Drosophila melanogaster: one gene and its partners. The protein of the gene in region 1 interacts with the protein of each later gene in a biochemical or structural test. Each region holds a gene or a part of one and is shown in the gene's direction. Other genes may lie near its edges.

Evidence for each region.
Region 2: the proteins of Trl (region 1) and dre4 form a complex in vitro, tested with the Drosophila melanogaster proteins (one study listed by BioGRID).
Region 3: the proteins of Trl (region 1) and Ssrp form a complex in vitro, tested with the Drosophila melanogaster proteins (one study listed by BioGRID).

The regions. Positions count from the first base shown.
Region 1 is NT_037436.4:14,754,928-14,759,794, reverse strand, and holds the start of Trl (Trithorax-like), read left to right. Parts: upstream 1-1,832; 5' UTR 1,833-1,953; exon of another isoform or gene 1,954-2,311; intron 2,312-2,458; exon of another isoform or gene 2,459-2,464; 5' UTR 2,465-2,699; coding exon 2,700-2,891; intron 2,892-4,867. UniProt on the Drosophila melanogaster protein: Transcriptional activator that functions by regulating chromatin structure. Overcomes the repressive effects of chromatin by promoting the open chromatin conformation in promoter gene regions, thereby allowing access to other transcription factors.
Region 2 is NT_037436.4:1,871,017-1,877,979, reverse strand, and holds dre4 (dre4), read left to right. Parts: upstream 1-1,667; 5' UTR 1,668-1,801; coding exon 1,802-1,870; intron 1,871-2,064; coding exon 2,065-2,328; intron 2,329-2,393; coding exon 2,394-2,693; intron 2,694-2,761; coding exon 2,762-3,939; intron 3,940-3,996; coding exon 3,997-4,863; intron 4,864-4,917; coding exon 4,918-5,180; intron 5,181-5,244; coding exon 5,245-5,398; intron 5,399-5,509; coding exon 5,510-5,626; intron 5,627-6,062; coding exon 6,063-6,219; 3' UTR 6,220-6,406; downstream 6,407-6,963. Other genes in the region: CG13937 (uncharacterized protein), read left to right, coding at 1-88, 153-219, 318-462, 534-689, 795-1,132, 1,199-1,292; CG13924 (uncharacterized protein), read right to left, coding at 6,416-6,963. UniProt on the Drosophila melanogaster protein: Component of the FACT complex, a general chromatin factor that acts to reorganize nucleosomes. The FACT complex is involved in multiple processes that require DNA as a template such as mRNA elongation, DNA replication and DNA repair.
Region 3 is NT_033778.4:23,805,778-23,810,706, reverse strand, and holds Ssrp (structure specific recognition protein), read left to right. Parts: upstream 1-1,702; 5' UTR 1,703-1,843; coding exon 1,844-1,897; intron 1,898-1,974; coding exon 1,975-3,546; intron 3,547-3,606; coding exon 3,607-4,152; 3' UTR 4,153-4,346; downstream 4,347-4,929. Other genes in the region: CG5543 (uncharacterized protein), read right to left, coding at 1-1,348; CG5539 (uncharacterized protein), read right to left, coding at 4,878-4,929; CG13561 (uncharacterized protein), read left to right, coding at 4,458-4,511, 4,572-4,727. UniProt on the Drosophila melanogaster protein: Component of the FACT complex, a general chromatin factor that acts to reorganize nucleosomes. The FACT complex is involved in multiple processes that require DNA as a template such as mRNA elongation, DNA replication and DNA repair.

The DNA.
Region 1 (4,867 bases):
CAACAAATTTGTGCTGAATTCTTCATGTTTTGCGTTCGTTTCAAGTATATTCAGTTTTTTTTAATAGAAACAACGTGATAAGGCGCGGTGGGGAAGGCCAGGCAAAAGTCGTGCCGCGCCGTTCGAATTTCAAACAGTCGAGCTGGCGCACGGTGGGACAAAAGCGTTGTTTAAAAGTTTTAATGTTTTAAAGTTTCATACATTTTAATAAAATACAAAAATTTAATTTGAAAATCTTTAACTAACGTACGGCCAAACGCACTATAAAAACTAGCCAATGGAAAAAATAGTCCAGTAACGCTTATACAATTTGTTTACAAAAACCAGTTATACAATGTATTCCAAAATTTTACATAGTAATTCTATTCCTACCACTTATGTTTTGTATCCCACTGTGCTTGGTTTGCACTCATTCCTCCACCTCTGCCGAGTCACCCACCACCAACACCCCCCAGCGCGCACGCTCTCCCTCATTCTCACATCATGCTCCGTTGGTTGGTATTGCCAGCTACGAAACATGAAACATGCTCACTGCTTTAACGCCGATTGGAACTTTAAAGGGGCATTTCGAACGGCATTTCTCATGGCCCCTTCCCTGCCCAGCAGCATCATAACAGAGAAAATTGTAATCTTAAAAATTTGGACACTCGCTCACTTTATATTACTTTCTTCTCTGAGCGTTGGCTAGAAGTGCCACTCTCCTTCTCCTTCAATTCCAAATTCGACTAACTTCCCTATCGCGGGGTCTCTCCGCTCTTAAGCTGGACTTGATCTGCATACGAGAATGAGACTGGCTATATGTTTTTACCCCGTAGGGTCTCGGTCTCTGAGATGTGTCAAAAGTAACAGGTGATTGGATTGGATTCGAAAGGAGAGAGGAGAGTTAGAGACAGGGGAAAGAGAATGTAGAGCGTAAGAGCGAACCGGCTTTTCTACCATTTGTTATTATTACTTTCACAGGATCTGTTAATATTTCGGAACCGAAGAGAAACCCAGTCCCGATACATGTCTATTTTAATCTAAACCTATCAGATTCTTTTGATTCCTGTGTAACCCTCAGTAGCATTACACTTGTTCCCAGAAAAATGGAATCTGGTATCTTAAAAAGAAAACTGAAAGTAATTTATTCTGAACCCAATACCCTTCTAGATTTTGGTGATCAAACATAATAAATTGTTAGATTAGGGACTCGTTCTACGAAAATCTGCTTATCGATTTAATCATAGCTAATGTTGGAATTTATTTTTAATACAATTGCTCGATACCTTAGCTAGAATAATTCAAAAACGTTCTGAATTGTTTATCCTTCATTTTTAAACTGTAAAATTTGAGCTTATTCAGAGTGGAGTAGTATAAGAAAATGTTGAATATTTTGATACCGGATCCGATAGTTATAGAACCGGAACCTACGGATCCCGTTGACCTTTTTCTTATCGCACTCTGATATTCCAACCGGTCGGACACATGTGTTTTTCATCCGTGAAGTCGGCCCAGAATATTTCCATCATTCAATATTTACCACCTTTTATAGTTTTGTTTACTATCTTGCCGACTTTTTTGTCTTGCCGTCTTGCTCTCCTCTCCATCCTAAAAATACTCTTCCTGCGCTCCATCTGGCAATGCCGCTCGACAACTGTACTTCAAAGAGCGTTGCCAGGCAGGTCACTTCTCTCATAGATACACAGATACAGGCGCGCACGCACACCAGCACGCAAAATAACCACCACCAGCAGTACAGAAATTACACATTTTCTCCCCGAGTAGAGAACTGAAAAACTGGCCGCGCTGGCAGCGCCGGAGCAGCGAAATTCGATCGAAACCATTTACTCAGTCTCAGTTCGAGTTATCCAACGTTGGCGAGCGGACAAACAAGCAGGAGAAAAAAGCGTACGGGCAAGAGAAAGAGAAGGCACAAAATCACCCACAGCCACTGAAATTTTCTTTTGCGCTCCGGTGAGAAGATAATTTCACAAACCAAAACCGAACCAACAAACAAAAAAAGTGCGCTCCGTGAGCGGGAAAACAATAACAAAATCAAGAGACATGCGATTATAAAACGAACAAAATAACTGAGTGACAAAAAAAAATTAAATGCGTGTCTCATGGCTTGACTGTACTGTGTATTAAAAAATGTGATTGTGTCGGCTGTCCGTCTGTCTGAGTTTGTGCGCGTGTGTGTGCTGTTGGCGTTTTTAAATGTGGCGCGCTATTTTTGTGTGATTTTTGTGGGCAGCAACGAATTTTGAAACATCAATTGTATACTAGTTGTCAGTCCCCTTGTGAAAAAGTCTTCTCCAACAACAAAATTCCTGTGAGCAGCCTACACACATGCGTTGTCTCGCTCTCGCGCGCTCTGGCCCCCAAAGAGTGCGAGAGCGGGAGAGTGAGACCGAGAAAGAGAGAGAGAGAGAGAGAGCTAATAACTAACGTCTGTACTCTTTTTCTTTTCCATTTTTCATTTCAGTTTCGAGAAAGCAGCGCGCCAAGCAGCAAGAAGAGGAAGAGCAAAGGGAGTTGGAAAAGCAGTGGCGTCGTGGAGGAGGAGTAGAAAGGGGATTTTTGCGAAAAATCCCAACTTGAAGAGAATTTTCCCCGTAACCGTTAAACATTAAATCGTCGTGTTGGAGACAAATAGCAGCGAATACGCTAGCAACGCTGGGGAGGAACAACAATTGTTGGATTTGGACGCGACCGCTTTGATGTCGCTGCCAATGAATTCGCTGTATTCGCTCACCTGGGGCGATTACGGCACCAGCCTCGTATCGGCAATCCAATTGTTGCGCTGCCATGGCGACCTCGTCGATTGCACGTTGGCCGCCGGCGGGCGGAGTTTTCCCGCCCACAAGATAGTCCTGTGCGCCGCCTCCCCCTTTCTGCTGGACTTGCTAAAGGTAAGTGCTCGGTTCGGAAACACTGCCTAAAACACCTTTCAATAAGAGAGCTTGTACATAACCTCAAACGTTTCGTACAGTTTGTAAACAGAGAAATCCAATCGCAGAAATAGGTTAATGTTTGGAGCGCAGAGAAACTGACACTCGCACGCAAATGCATACATATGTATAAATAACGCAGATTTACGCTCCGCTCCAAAAGTTGTCTAGAGATTTTTGTACAAGTTTTCCACTGTCAATTGAGTTGAATGAGTGGCTCCGCCCCCCGCATTCCCGCCGTCTATCTTGCTTATCAGCTTTTTCTTGTTGCAAAGTTCACCGGAGAACGAGAGAGTGAGACGTAGAGACAGAGCGCAGACAGAGAGGGAGAGAGCGAGAGAACCAGTTGGTTCGGTCGACAGAAAAGTGGTTTTGGGCCCGGTGGTGTAACAGAGAGGGGAGAGCCGAAAGCTGGTGCGCCAACTTTTAAATCGCATGTGTTAGAGCGAGCGCAAACGAGAGCGCCAAAAGCAGCGCGGCAACTGTTGTAGTTGTTGGATGGTTGGAGCTTTCGTCTTGCCTTTTGGTTCTTGCTGTTGTTGGGTGCACACGAGCGCGACCTCTTTCTTCACAGACAGAACTGTACAGTTGGCTCTGGCTAGGGGGAACTTGAAATATTGGGGGGAATATGGATACATATACAAAGATAATTAAAATTAAATTTGTATTGATTGGTTTGATTTCCTTAACCCATTTCCTAAGCTAAGTCTTTTGTATTTTGTATGTCACCATTTTAGATTGCTAGATTGATTGTCTAACAGCAAACTTCGCTCAATTAAAAGTTCCTGGACTTTAATAGACTTATCTACTTCAAATCTTTATTTAAACTTATAACATAGTGACCAAGTCCAGATTGTACCAAAGATAAGCAAGCCTGTCTGGTGCGCTTCCCTCGTATCGAATCCAACCCGTATTTCTATAAACTAAAGCATTTCATATTAGGAAGGCGCACTTTTAAATGGAGCTTGCAAGTTTTTTCATGAGCTGTATTGCGATACTGTACTTTTTAACAACTCATTTGCACTTTAACTTTGACGCTTTTCCGCCACTCTGTCGATTGTTCAAAGTGTGCGCTTAAGTATGAAAGTTGGACCGTCTTCAATGCGTGGCCCTATCGTAATGGAAATACTGACCAAAACAGAGCGCGGCCAGCGAAATGAAAACACCTGATGCGACGCCGACAGCGGCTACTCTGCGCTTCGCTCCCCCTTATTCTCAGCGCTCCTCATCTCTCCTCTCCTTTTCTGGGCCGTGAAAAAGTAAACAGAGCGAAATTTTTGAAAACGCCGCTCAGAGCCGTCGTGGGGAAATGTCAAAGAAAAAAAAAAAAAAACAAAAAGAACGGGACCAATGCGGCTGTGAACTCTGCAAGAGTCCGAAAAGTACAAGATGTACTGATCTCGTTACACTCACACACGCACGCAAAAACACATGGCGGTCGCTCTTTGTTGCTCTTGCTCCCTCTCCCTTGCTCCTACGGCAAATGGAATGCAACTCTGAAAAATCGATGAGCGAGACTTTGGTTGGAGGCAGAGTTCAAAGAGCGCAAATGGGAGTGCGGTGAGATGTGTCATTTCAAGAGATTGGCATTGGATGAAGGGAGGGTGTTGGTTGGTGAGTCCGTAAATGGAGAGGGGTTGTTTTCTGAGCAATGCTATATAATTAAATGTTTGGAGCGGGAGCGGGAGCGGGAGAGGACACAGAAGAAGAACAGCTAAGCGCTCTTTCTTTAAGCGCTGCTCTGTTTTCTTTTTCAGCATCTGAAATCTCAAAATCCTGCTGCAGAATGTGCAGAGCGCGCAAAAGTAAAAGCCGGTTGTCTTTTGTCTGTGTCACTGTGTGCGTGAGCGGAGGAGAGTGTGAGCGACGCGTCGCACCGCGAGTTTCCATTATTTCCATCTCCGTCCGACTGTTTTTGTTATTGTTTTTATTTGGAT
Region 2 (6,963 bases), about 13 Mb from region 1:
CAGGAAATGCTCCAGGTGGAGCAGCGGATGGACCAGCGCAGGGAGCGGCTAAAGGACAAGTGCTCCGCCTACGGCCTGGATGTCCTGGGTGGGTCCTTCGCTTTGGATTCGCCAAATGGATTGGGGTCTGATCGCTTGTGTTTTATTTACAGGTCACGACGCGTGGCACACGCCGAACACGTGGGAATTTTTGGTCAACAAAAAGTATCACATTATCTGGTGGGTGTGCCCTTTATTCACTCTTCAACGATTCCATTTTAGTGTGTCATTCGGATTTGACAAATAGGATCTTAACTTACTATTTATTTTCCGTGCAGGTGCAATGTCTTTAAGGCTGCCTCATCGTCCTGGATGTTCAACTTCAACGTCCTGGCCGGTTACTCGCCCAGCTATCTGCGCAAAACCAAGAAGATCCTTCTCAACCTGGCCAGGGAGCGCTATCCCAGGGTGACCCTCGACGAGGTGCGTCTCGAAAGGAGTTCTTAATCCCCTTCCTCAAACCTAAATTAAACTCTTTCTATTTCGGGCGACAGCTGCGTGAGGCACAGAACTACTCGGTGACCTTTATCATCGCACGCGATCCCTTCGAGCGGCTGTTGAGTGCCTATCGGGACAAGATGGTGTTCGCCCTGCCCTACTCCTTCCACGATAAGTTGGGACGCAGCATTGTGCGCAACTACCGCAAGAAGGTAAGCATTTCGACTGTAACCCACTGCGTATACACGATATTGTTGCAATAGCAATATCAAGTATACGCATCGAATGCATCTAATACATTGTATTTTATCCAATAGCCGTCACTGGCTGCCCGTGCGGCCAACACAAAGTTCCCATCGTTTCCGGAATTCGTGCACTGGCTGCTCGACCAGGTGAAGCGCGGCAGCTTCATCGACATGCACTTCGTGGCGGCCACCTCGTTCTGCACACCCTGCCTCATCCGGTTCGACATGATACTGAAGTTCGAATCGCTGGCGGAGGATCAATTATATCTAATCGAAAAGACTGGCCTCAAGCGGGTGATAGCGCCCGTGTGGCGCAACATGGGCAAGGGCCGCAAGACGCACGAGCTCCAGCAGCAGTTCTATGCGCAGCTGACACGCCAGGAAATGCTGGAGCTCTACGAGTATTACAAGTGGGTCATCCATTTAAATTTTTAGATTATGGTAGCATACTTACAAGTTAAAATTCCTCCCCACAGATACGACTTCGAGCTGTTCGACTACGATATCCAGGAGTATCTGCAGGTTGCCCGGCCGGATGAGGCCGAAAGTCCGGCGGGCACAAAGAATTAAACTAGCTCTGAATTCTTAGACTTTGCTAAAAACCAATGAATCAAGTTCAACGAACTCACATATTAGCCGTCACAGTACGTAATTGCAAATGTTGATAATACTGAAGAAAACAATAATAAAATTAGCTATATTTAAACGAAGCCTGTGCCAAAGTCTTTTATTTAATGTAAAAATGTATTTTTGGCGAGACACATTTTTAATTAAATCCAGTTTTAAACATTTTTTTCAGTGCACCAATTTTTAGCGCGTAAAATGTTCATATATGGTTCGAGTCCCTGCTAGACGTGTCTGTACTGTTGCTTGGTTACACTATTTTTACATTGACAACTGGTATATTACGGTATTTTTGAGAGCGGTCTCACTCACGTCGAGCTGACGCTTATTCTGCTTCTTCTTCATCTGGTCGCCGCGCAATTTTTTTATCCGGCGGAATTTGCAAATGCAATTTCTGGCGTTTAGCGCATTTTAAGCGGAGTTAACGCATACACAGTAACAAATCCGGCGGCAATATGTCGAGCTTTGTGCTGGACAAGGAGGCGTTCGTGCGCCGCGTGAAACGCCTCTACACGGAATGGAGGGTGAGTCTGTCCGCCGGTCGGCGATCTGCGTGTTTTTGGGGCCGCAGGAGCACCGGGGAGCACGTGGAGACTCTGCAGACGGGTCACGATAATGAAAGATTGGGAGATGTGGTGAAATTAATTACCCATAGACCAGGTTGTTTGGGGAAAAGAGGATTACTGCATAATAATATCGGACTCTTTGTCTTTCGCAGGCTCCCAGCATCGGACACGATGACGCGCTCAGGAATCTGGACTGCATCATGAGCATCGTGGGCGTCGAAGAGGATGTCATGTACTCCAAGTCCATGGCCCTGCAGCTCTGGCTGCTGGGCTACGAGCTGACGGACACCATCTCAGTGTTTTGCTCGGATGCCGTGTATTTTCTCACTAGCAAAAAGAAAATAGAATTCCTGAAGCAGACGCAGAACATCACCGAAGAAGGTTTTCCGGAAATCAATCTGCTTGTTAGGGATCGGGTGAGTTTCGATTTCTGCTCCAGGCCAAAAGTTCTCTAATCCTTTCTGATCTTGACTTCGAGAAGACGGACAAGGACCAGGGCAACTTCGAGAAGCTCATCAAAGCCCTGCAAAACTCGAAGAAGGGCAAGCGTTTGGGCGTCTTCGCCAAGGACGCCTATCCCGGGGAGTTCAGCGAAGCATGGAAGAAATCCCTGACGGCGTCCAAGTTCGAGCATGTGGACATTAGCACTATTATCGCCTACCTCATGTGTCCCAAGGATGAGTCGGAGATCAACAACATACGCAAGGCATCGCTAGTGTCAATGGACATTTTCAACAAGTATTTGAAAGATGAGATCATGGACATTATTGATTCGGATAGGGTGAGCACCTGGCGGCTATAATATTATGTGTTTTCCTAATATATTAACCTTTTTAACCTCCTTTTTAGAAAGTCAAACACAACAAGCTCTCAGATGGCTGCGAGGCTGCCATTGGCGAGAAGAAGTACACCAGTGGTCTGGATCCCAGACTCCTCGATATGGCCTACCCACCCATCATCCAATCGGGAGGAGCCTACAGCCTGAAGTTCTCCGCGGTGGCGGACAAAAATCCCTTGCACTTCGGTGTGATTGTGTGCTCCTTGGGCGCCCGCTACAAGTCGTATTGCTCAAATATATCGCGCACCTTTCTGGTGAATCCCACCGAGGCCATGCAGGAGAACTACACATTTCTGGTAAGTGTGCAGGAGGAGATTCTCAAGCTGCTGGTTCCGGGCACAAAGCTGTGCGACGTCTACGAAAAGACCCTGGACTTCGTGAAGAAGGAGAAGCCGAGTATGGTGGACAATCTGCCCAAAAGCTTTGGTTTCGCCATGGGCCTAGAGTTCCGGGAGAACTCCATTGTCATCGGACCCAAATGCCAGGCGCTACTCAAGAAGAATATGGTCTTTAATTTGCACGTGGGCATCTCGAATCTGACCAATCCCGAAGCCACCGACAAAGAGGGCAAGAACTACGCCCTCTTCATCGGAGACACTGTGCTAGTAGGCGAACAATCCCCAGCCAGTGTGATGACTCCGTCCAAGAAGAAGATCAAGAACGTCGGCATCTTTATCAAGGACGACAGCGACGAGGAAGATGTGGACGACAAGAAGACCGCTAAAGAAGATCAGGGCACCGAGATCCTGGGCCGCAGCAAGCGCAACGCGGTGCTGGAGTCAAAGCTGCGAAACGAGATCAACACGGAGGAGAAGCGCAAGGAGCACCAGCGCGAGCTGGCTCAGCAGCTGAACGAGCGCGCCAAGGATCGGCTGGCCAGGCAGGGAAACTCGAAGGAGGTCGAGAAAGTGCGCAAGAACACCGTCTCCTACAAGTCCATCAGCCAAATGCCGCGCGAGCCGGAAGTCAAGGAGCTCAAGCTTTACGTGGATAAGAAGTACGAGACCGTCATCATGCCAGTGTTCGGCATCCAGGTGCCGTTCCATATATCCACCATCAAGAACATCTCGCAGTCGGTGGAGGGCGAGTACACGTACTTGCGTATCAACTTCTTTCATCCCGGCGCCACAATGGGTCGCAACGAAGGCGGACTCTATCCTCAGCCAGAGGCCACATTTGTCAAGGAAGTGTAAGTATAGTGCGAAATCTGCTTAAGGAATGCACTAACTAGACACTTTTCCTGCAGTACATACCGCAGCTCTAATGTTAAGGAACACGGGGAGGTGGGAGCTCCATCCGCAAATCTAAACAATGCTTTCCGGCTGATCAAGGAGGTGCAGAAGCGCTTCAAGACCCGCGAGGCTGAGGAGCGCGAAAAGGAGGATCTTGTGAAGCAAGACACACTCATTCTGTCCCAGAACAAGGGTAATCCCAAGCTGAAGGACCTATACATTCGGCCCAACATCGTGACCAAGCGCATGACGGGCAGCCTGGAAGCGCACAGCAATGGATTCCGCTACATCTCCGTGCGCGGCGACAAGGTGGACATCTTGTACAACAACATCAAAAGCGCGTTTTTCCAGCCCTGCGATGGCGAGATGATCATTCTTCTGCATTTCCACCTGAAGTACGCCATTATGTTTGGCAAAAAGAAGCACGTGGATGTACAGTTCTACACGGAAGTGGGAGAGATCACCACGGATCTGGGCAAGCACCAGCACATGCACGACCGCGACGACTTGGCTGCTGAGCAGGCAGAACGTGAGCTGCGGCACAAGCTCAAGACTGCCTTCAAGAGCTTCTGCGAGAAGGTGGAAACCATGACCAAGTCGGTAGTGGAGTTCGACACGCCGTTCCGTGAGTTGGGATTCCCTGGAGCACCCTTCCGCAGCACGGTGACGCTGCAACCCACCTCGGGCTCCCTGGTCAATCTGACGGAATGGCCACCATTTGTCATCACGCTGGACGATGTGGAGTTGGTGCACTTCGAGCGCGTTCAGTTCCACTTGCGCAACTTCGATATGATATTTGTGTTCAAGGAGTACAATAAGAAGGTTGCCATGGTGAACGCCATTCCTATGAACATGCTGGATCACGTGAAGGAGTGGCTCAAGTAAGTTCATCTGCCCATTTGCAAAATGCACTTTTACTAATGAGTATCCTGTAGCTCCTGCGACATCCGCTATTCGGAGGGTGTTCAATCCCTGAACTGGCAAAAGATCATGAAGACCATCACCGACGATCCTGAGGGATTCTTTGAACAAGGCGGCTGGACATTCTTGGACCCGGAATCGGGCAGCGAAGGCGAAAACGAAACCGCCGAATCCGAAGAGGACGAGGCCTACAATCCCACCGACGCCGAATCGGATGAGGAGTCGGACGAAGATTCCGAGTACTCAGAGGCATCAGAAGACAGCGAGGAAAGCGATGGTATGCACAAACCCAAAACATTCCATATCTTCTAGTTGGTTAATATTTTCATCATAATTTACAGAGGACCTTGGCTCTGATGAGGAATCTGGCAAGGATTGGTCCGATCTGGAGCGCGAGGCTGCTGAGGAAGACCGCAACCACGATTATGCCGCAGATGACAAACCACGCAACGGCAAATTCGATTCGAAGAAGCACGGCAAGAGTTCAAAGCACAGGTATGAGCCACGATCCCATCATGGACGGGTTTCCATTAAGGGTTACCTTATCCGAGATCTCCTTTCTCTTATCTATATCAATCGTTCTACAACATTTTACGTCCACCACAGTCGCCGCGACCGCGAGGAGGCTCGATCGTCGTCGCACAGTAAAAAGCACAAGTCGAACTCCTCCTCGTCCTCTTCGCATTTAAAGTCCTCCAGCTCCAAACATGGCAGCTCATCTAGGTTTGTTATCGAAAGCCCCGAACACTTAATACCCAACCATACGGCCTAACGCAAGTGCATTTCACATATCATTTTTCACTCACAAACCATTACACACTGGAAGTTTCGTTATAAATTTGATTTTCTTCTTTGGTGGAACAAAAAACCAAGCAATTGGACGTTTTTAAGAGTTATTTTTTGTTGATATTATTTATTTCTGGTGTTGGCTTGGCAAGTTTTGGATAGGGATACCCCAAATTCCATCCGTTTACAACCACTTTCTGTTTGGGTTTATGTTGAATTATTTATGATTGTTCAGTCTGGCAAAATTGATAAAAAGAAAGAAAAAAAAAGAACAGCATCATAACTCGCTTGCTCAAAATTGATAACCACAGAGGAGTAATTATTTGTGAAATTTCTTTTAACACATTTCCAAATTCCCTTGATTATTTTAAAGCCCGTCGAAGTCGTCGAAGGACAAGTACAACAGCCGGGACAAGCATCATTCCTCCTCATCGTCCGGAAACAAGAGCAGCAGCAAGGACAAGGATCGCAAGCGCTCGCGGGATGACAGTCGCGACAATGGGCACAAGTCGAAGAAGTCGCGACATTAGGGAGCTGTTCCTGTCGCCAAGCCTGTGTGGCACTCCGTTCGTAATCTAGCTCTCCTGTTACCATTGTCTATCTGTTAAAGGACCCGCCACCCCAATCCCCCGTCACTCATTTTTGTCACGCTTCAAAAGTTGTATTACAAATTAAATATAATACGATACATTAATATAATAAACTAATGTAAGAACTACATTACTCCTACTTGTTCCAGCTGCCGAGCAGATGCCGATAGGCGTGCACCTCCACTTCCCCGCTGTCGCGCCGCCGCCTTCGCCGTCCGCCGCGCTGCTCCTGCTCCTGGTGCAGATGCGGATGAGCTTGGGGATGCTGGCGCGGACTTCCGGCGGCGGCCACACTACCCCGCCTTTTGTGCGCATCGAACATGTTGCGGGTCTTGTTGATCGGATAGCGCATCTTGTTCTTCAGCCAGGTGGTGAAGGCGCGCTCGTTGTCCTGCATCTTCTTCAGCTCCTGCTCGTTGCGATTGATGGTCTGCTCCATGGAGAAGCGCTGCTTCCGCCGCAGTTGCTGGTCGCGCCGCTGCAGTTGCTGGGCAGTCAGTCCGTACTCGGACATGTAGCCCGTGTACCTGGGTAGCTTGCCCTGAATCGAATGCCGGTGCTCGCAGCAGATCTTGTAGTTCATCCGCACCGAAGGAGACGTCGTGGAAGCGGAGGCAGAGGATAGAGTGGGCGTGGGCTTGGGCCGACGGCGAAAGCTAAAACTGCGCGAAGTGAAGAAGGTCT
Region 3 (4,929 bases), on another chromosome or scaffold:
CCTGGCCCTTCGGAAGCGATTCTCCGGTGACTAGCAGACGGTCATCTGGACTAAAGCAGCAATCTGTTGTGTCGTAGCGGGAGAACAGGTTTGTCCAGGTATGCAGCGGCTGTTTGAACTGCCGCAGATCCCAAAGCTTCATGGTCTCGTCGTTGCTGCGAGTGGCCAACTGCTGACCCATGTACGAGAACACAATGGAGGTGATCTCCGAACCCTTCTGATGCGCATCCCTGACGCAGTGCGTGGTGTTCACAAACATCTTGCGCGTGTCCCACGTCTGAATGGAACCATCCACGCAGCCCGCTGCTATGAGTGTGGCGTCCCTGTTAAAGTTGCATGATGCTGCGTTGGTGCGGAGGCCTCCCTGCGCCCTTGTCTTGATCACCTGCAACTGTTCCTTGGACTTCAATCCCTGCCAGATGCGCAGAGTACCGTCGAGAGCTGCGGTCAGGAACTGCTCCCTGTTAAATGGATGCCAGCAGCCGGAGGTCAACTGTGCCACGTGGCCCTTGGTGCGCGACATGTCCGAGATATACTGGTCGCCCTTGCAGCACTCCAGTTTCTCGAATCCATCGCGGTCGAGGACCTTGGCCTGGGCGTTTCCGGAGATGACCAGGATCATGTCGCCGGTCACGGAGTACTGGAGAGAACGTATGGGATGGTTCTCGCACGGCTGCAGTTGCCGGAAGCTACGCATGCTCGAGTCCATGCCGGCGAAATCCCAGAAGCACATATCGTAGTCTATGGAACCAGAGACCAAGCGGGCACCCGAGGGATCGCCAGCCAGGGCAAGGACAGCGCGGGAACCGTGCTGCATCTGCACCTCGTGTGTGTAGGGTATGCGCTTAGCAAGGCTTTGTTCGTCATCTGAATCTTCATCGGACGAATAATCATCGTCATCGGAGTCTTCGTCTTTGGACGATTCCTTCGTGGCTTTCTCCTTGTCTGTGGTCACAGCTGGTGGTAGGGGACCTATTACGTCCTCCTCTTCCTCGTCTTTCTGGTCATCCTCCTTCGGCTTGGACTCCTCCCTTTTTTTGTCCATTCCCGGGCGGGTAACTCTCGCCTTTTCTATCTGCTCGTTGATGTCGAACACCTTGGCCGCCTTGCGACCAAAGCCACTGATGCCCATCACTTCCTTGAGGTGCTGGCTCTCCAGATCTTCGGCCACGTCCTCGATCTGCCGAATCATCTGCTCCTTGTCCATTTTCTTGAATCCTCCGCCATTTCCGCTGGCTTCAGTGGACTCCTTTGCATCTTCCGCCTCGGTTTCGTTGGATCTTGGCTCCGCAGGAGGTACGTTTACATTCAGTTTGATTTTCCCGAAGGAAATTTTACCGCGTTGCATAGTTTTAAGGCCCCACGCTAAGTGGATTTTCAAATTTTTAATTAAAACTATATTTCTCTGAAAATATGCGGTAAATATTTTGTAAACAAGTGAATTAAGTGACCGTTTATATTCGGACTGTCAATTTGGTATTTTAAAAGATCGAGCGAATTGTTATGGTCTTTAAATAAGCTCTGGCTTGCCCATTAAAATTTTTCAATTTAATAATGACTCATATATTGTTCATGTATTGCAAACAAGATATATATAAACAATAAAGGAAACTGCATTGGAATATTAAGAGTTTATATCGATTGCAATTTAAGAATAGTGCACTCAAAAATACTAAACACACATACGGTCACTCTAATATAGCTGACTGGCGTCTAACCTAAAATTAGGCGCGCAGTGTTGTTTTGTGTCTGCCGGAATTATTGTAAATTGGTGACAATTTCGCAAGGCGGCGTAATACATAGTTGATCTATTATCTTGTTACTGGAGAGGAAGAAGTGCAGGATGACAGACTCTCTGGAGTACAACGACATAAACGCCGAAGTGCGCGGAGTCTTGGTGAGTCGCAAAAAAGCCGGCGTATTTTGTCACATTTCGCATGACCGAGGTTTTCCATTTCCCTGCGCGCAAAAAAGTGTTCCGGACGCCTAAAGATGACCGAGCAGAACATCATCTTCAAGAACACCAAGACCGGCAAGGTGGAGCAGATCTCGGCAGAGGACATAGACCTGATCAATTCGCAGAAGTTCGTGGGCACCTGGGGACTGAGGGTGTTCACCAAAGGCGGCGTGCTCCACCGCTTCACCGGATTCCGCGACAGCGAGCACGAGAAGCTGGGCAAGTTTATCAAGGCTGCCTACTCGCAGGAGATGGTCGAGAAGGAGATGTGCGTCAAGGGCTGGAACTGGGGCACCGCCCGCTTCATGGGCTCCGTCCTGAGCTTCGACAAGGAGTCGAAGACCATCTTCGAGGTGCCGCTGTCGCACGTTTCGCAGTGCGTGACCGGCAAGAACGAGGTCACCCTGGAGTTCCACCAAAACGACGATGCGCCCGTGGGTCTACTGGAGATGCGGTTCCACATACCCGCCGTGGAGTCGGCCGAGGAGGATCCGGTAGACAAGTTCCACCAGAACGTAATGAGCAAGGCCTCGGTCATCTCGGCTTCGGGCGAGTCCATCGCCATTTTCAGAGAGATCCAGATCCTCACGCCTCGCGGTCGCTATGACATCAAGATCTTCTCGACCTTCTTCCAGCTGCACGGCAAGACGTTCGACTACAAGATTCCCATGGACTCGGTGCTGCGGCTCTTCATGCTGCCCCACAAAGACAGTCGACAGATGTTCTTTGTGCTCTCCTTGGATCCGCCCATCAAGCAGGGACAAACGCGTTACCACTACCTGGTCCTGCTGTTTGCTCCCGATGAGGAGACCACCATTGAGCTGCCATTCTCGGAAGCCGAGTTGCGAGACAAGTACGAGGGCAAGCTGGAGAAAGAGATCTCCGGGCCGGTGTACGAGGTGATGGGCAAAGTGATGAAGGTGCTGATCGGTCGAAAAATTACCGGACCCGGTAACTTTATCGGACACTCTGGCACGGCTGCAGTGGGCTGCTCGTTCAAGGCTGCAGCTGGATATCTGTATCCCCTGGAGCGAGGATTCATCTATATCCACAAGCCACCGCTGCATATCCGCTTTGAGGAGATTAGTTCTGTGAACTTTGCCCGCAGCGGCGGATCCACGCGATCTTTCGACTTCGAAGTGACGCTCAAGAACGGAACTGTTCACATCTTCTCCTCCATCGAGAAGGAGGAGTATGCCAAGCTCTTCGACTACATCACACAGAAGAAGTTGCATGTCAGCAACATGGGCAAGGACAAGAGCGGCTACAAGGACGTGGACTTTGGTGATTCGGACAACGAGAACGAACCAGATGCCTATCTGGCTCGCCTCAAGGCTGAGGCGAGGGAAAAGGAGGAGGACGACGACGATGGCGACTCGGATGAAGAGTCCACGGATGAGGACTTCAAGCCCAACGAGAACGAGTCCGATGTGGCCGAGGAGTATGACAGCAACGTGGAGAGTGATTCGGACGATGACAGCGATGCTAGTGGCGGCGGAGGCGACAGCGACGGCGCCAAGAAAAAGAAGGAGAAGAAGTCCGAGAAGAAAGAGAAAAAGGAGAAAAAACACAAGGAGAAGGAGAGAACAGTGAGTAATGTTTGCTTATTATTATAGCTTATGGTAACATGTTTTTATATGTTTTTATAGAAGAAACCCTCCAAGAAGAAGAAGGACTCTGGCAAACCCAAGCGCGCCACCACCGCTTTCATGCTCTGGCTGAACGACACGCGCGAGAGCATCAAGAGGGAAAATCCGGGCATAAAGGTTACCGAGATCGCCAAGAAGGGCGGCGAGATGTGGAAGGAGCTGAAGGACAAGTCCAAGTGGGAGGATGCGGCGGCCAAGGACAAGCAGCGCTACCACGACGAGATGCGCAACTACAAGCCTGAAGCGGGCGGTGACAGCGACAACGAGAAGGGTGGAAAGTCCTCCAAGAAGCGCAAGACGGAGCCTTCTCCATCCAAGAAGGCGAATACCTCGGGCAGCGGCTTCAAGAGCAAGGAGTACATTTCGGACGACGACTCCACCAGCTCCGACGACGAGAAGGACAACGAGCCTGCCAAGAAGAAGAGCAAGCCCCCATCCGACGGCGATGCCAAGAAGAAAAAGGCCAAGAGCGAGAGCGAACCGGAGGAGAGCGAGGAGGACAGCAATGCCAGCGATGAGGATGAGGAAGATGAGGCCAGTGATTAGGGCCATAAACACAACAAATCAATTCCATAAACACACACCACGCTCCTCACACACCCATGTCCCAAATCTAGTTTACATTCGCCTAGTTTAGTTAAGTGCTGCCTGTTGGATACAGACCCATACGTTTTTGTTTAATTAAAACTCAACAACAATTCGAAAGTTCAAGTAATTAAACAGAATTGATAATTGCCCGTAATGATTGATATCTATCGATTATGGTTTCGCTTGACTGGCTTTTGCCACTTTCGTCAACATTATAATGCCACAGTTTGCCAGTTTTTAATGGCTCTTTGGTGAACTTAGTGATGGCCACGTTGACAGAGTTATTCCTCTTGTTTGGGCTGTGGCACATTTTGCAGGCAAGTTCGACCGTAAGCTAGGCCGGCTGGGATTATGAACCGAACACTAGCTCACTTCAGGTCCAAGGAGTTGCCAAGTTCACAAACATCGAGTGCCTGAGTGCGGACGAAAACTTCACCACCGTTTCCCTGTGCCGATTGTACGCCGTAAAGAGGGATGTCGTCGAAATGAGTCTGCGGGCCAACATCCTGCGATGGCCAAAAGGTCCGGTATCGGTGAGTTAGTTTGCAAAGCTAGGGCGTTCCTGAATGCCATAGTTGAATAGCTATCTATAGTAGAAAATGCGAGTCCAAAACACTAGTAATTAAACAACTTGAAACCTATCCATGCCTAAAACCAATTTATGTTTTGAATTAATGAAATAACTATAAACCTGTTTGAGGTTTCACAAATGATTGTGCTAAAAGACGGCGACGG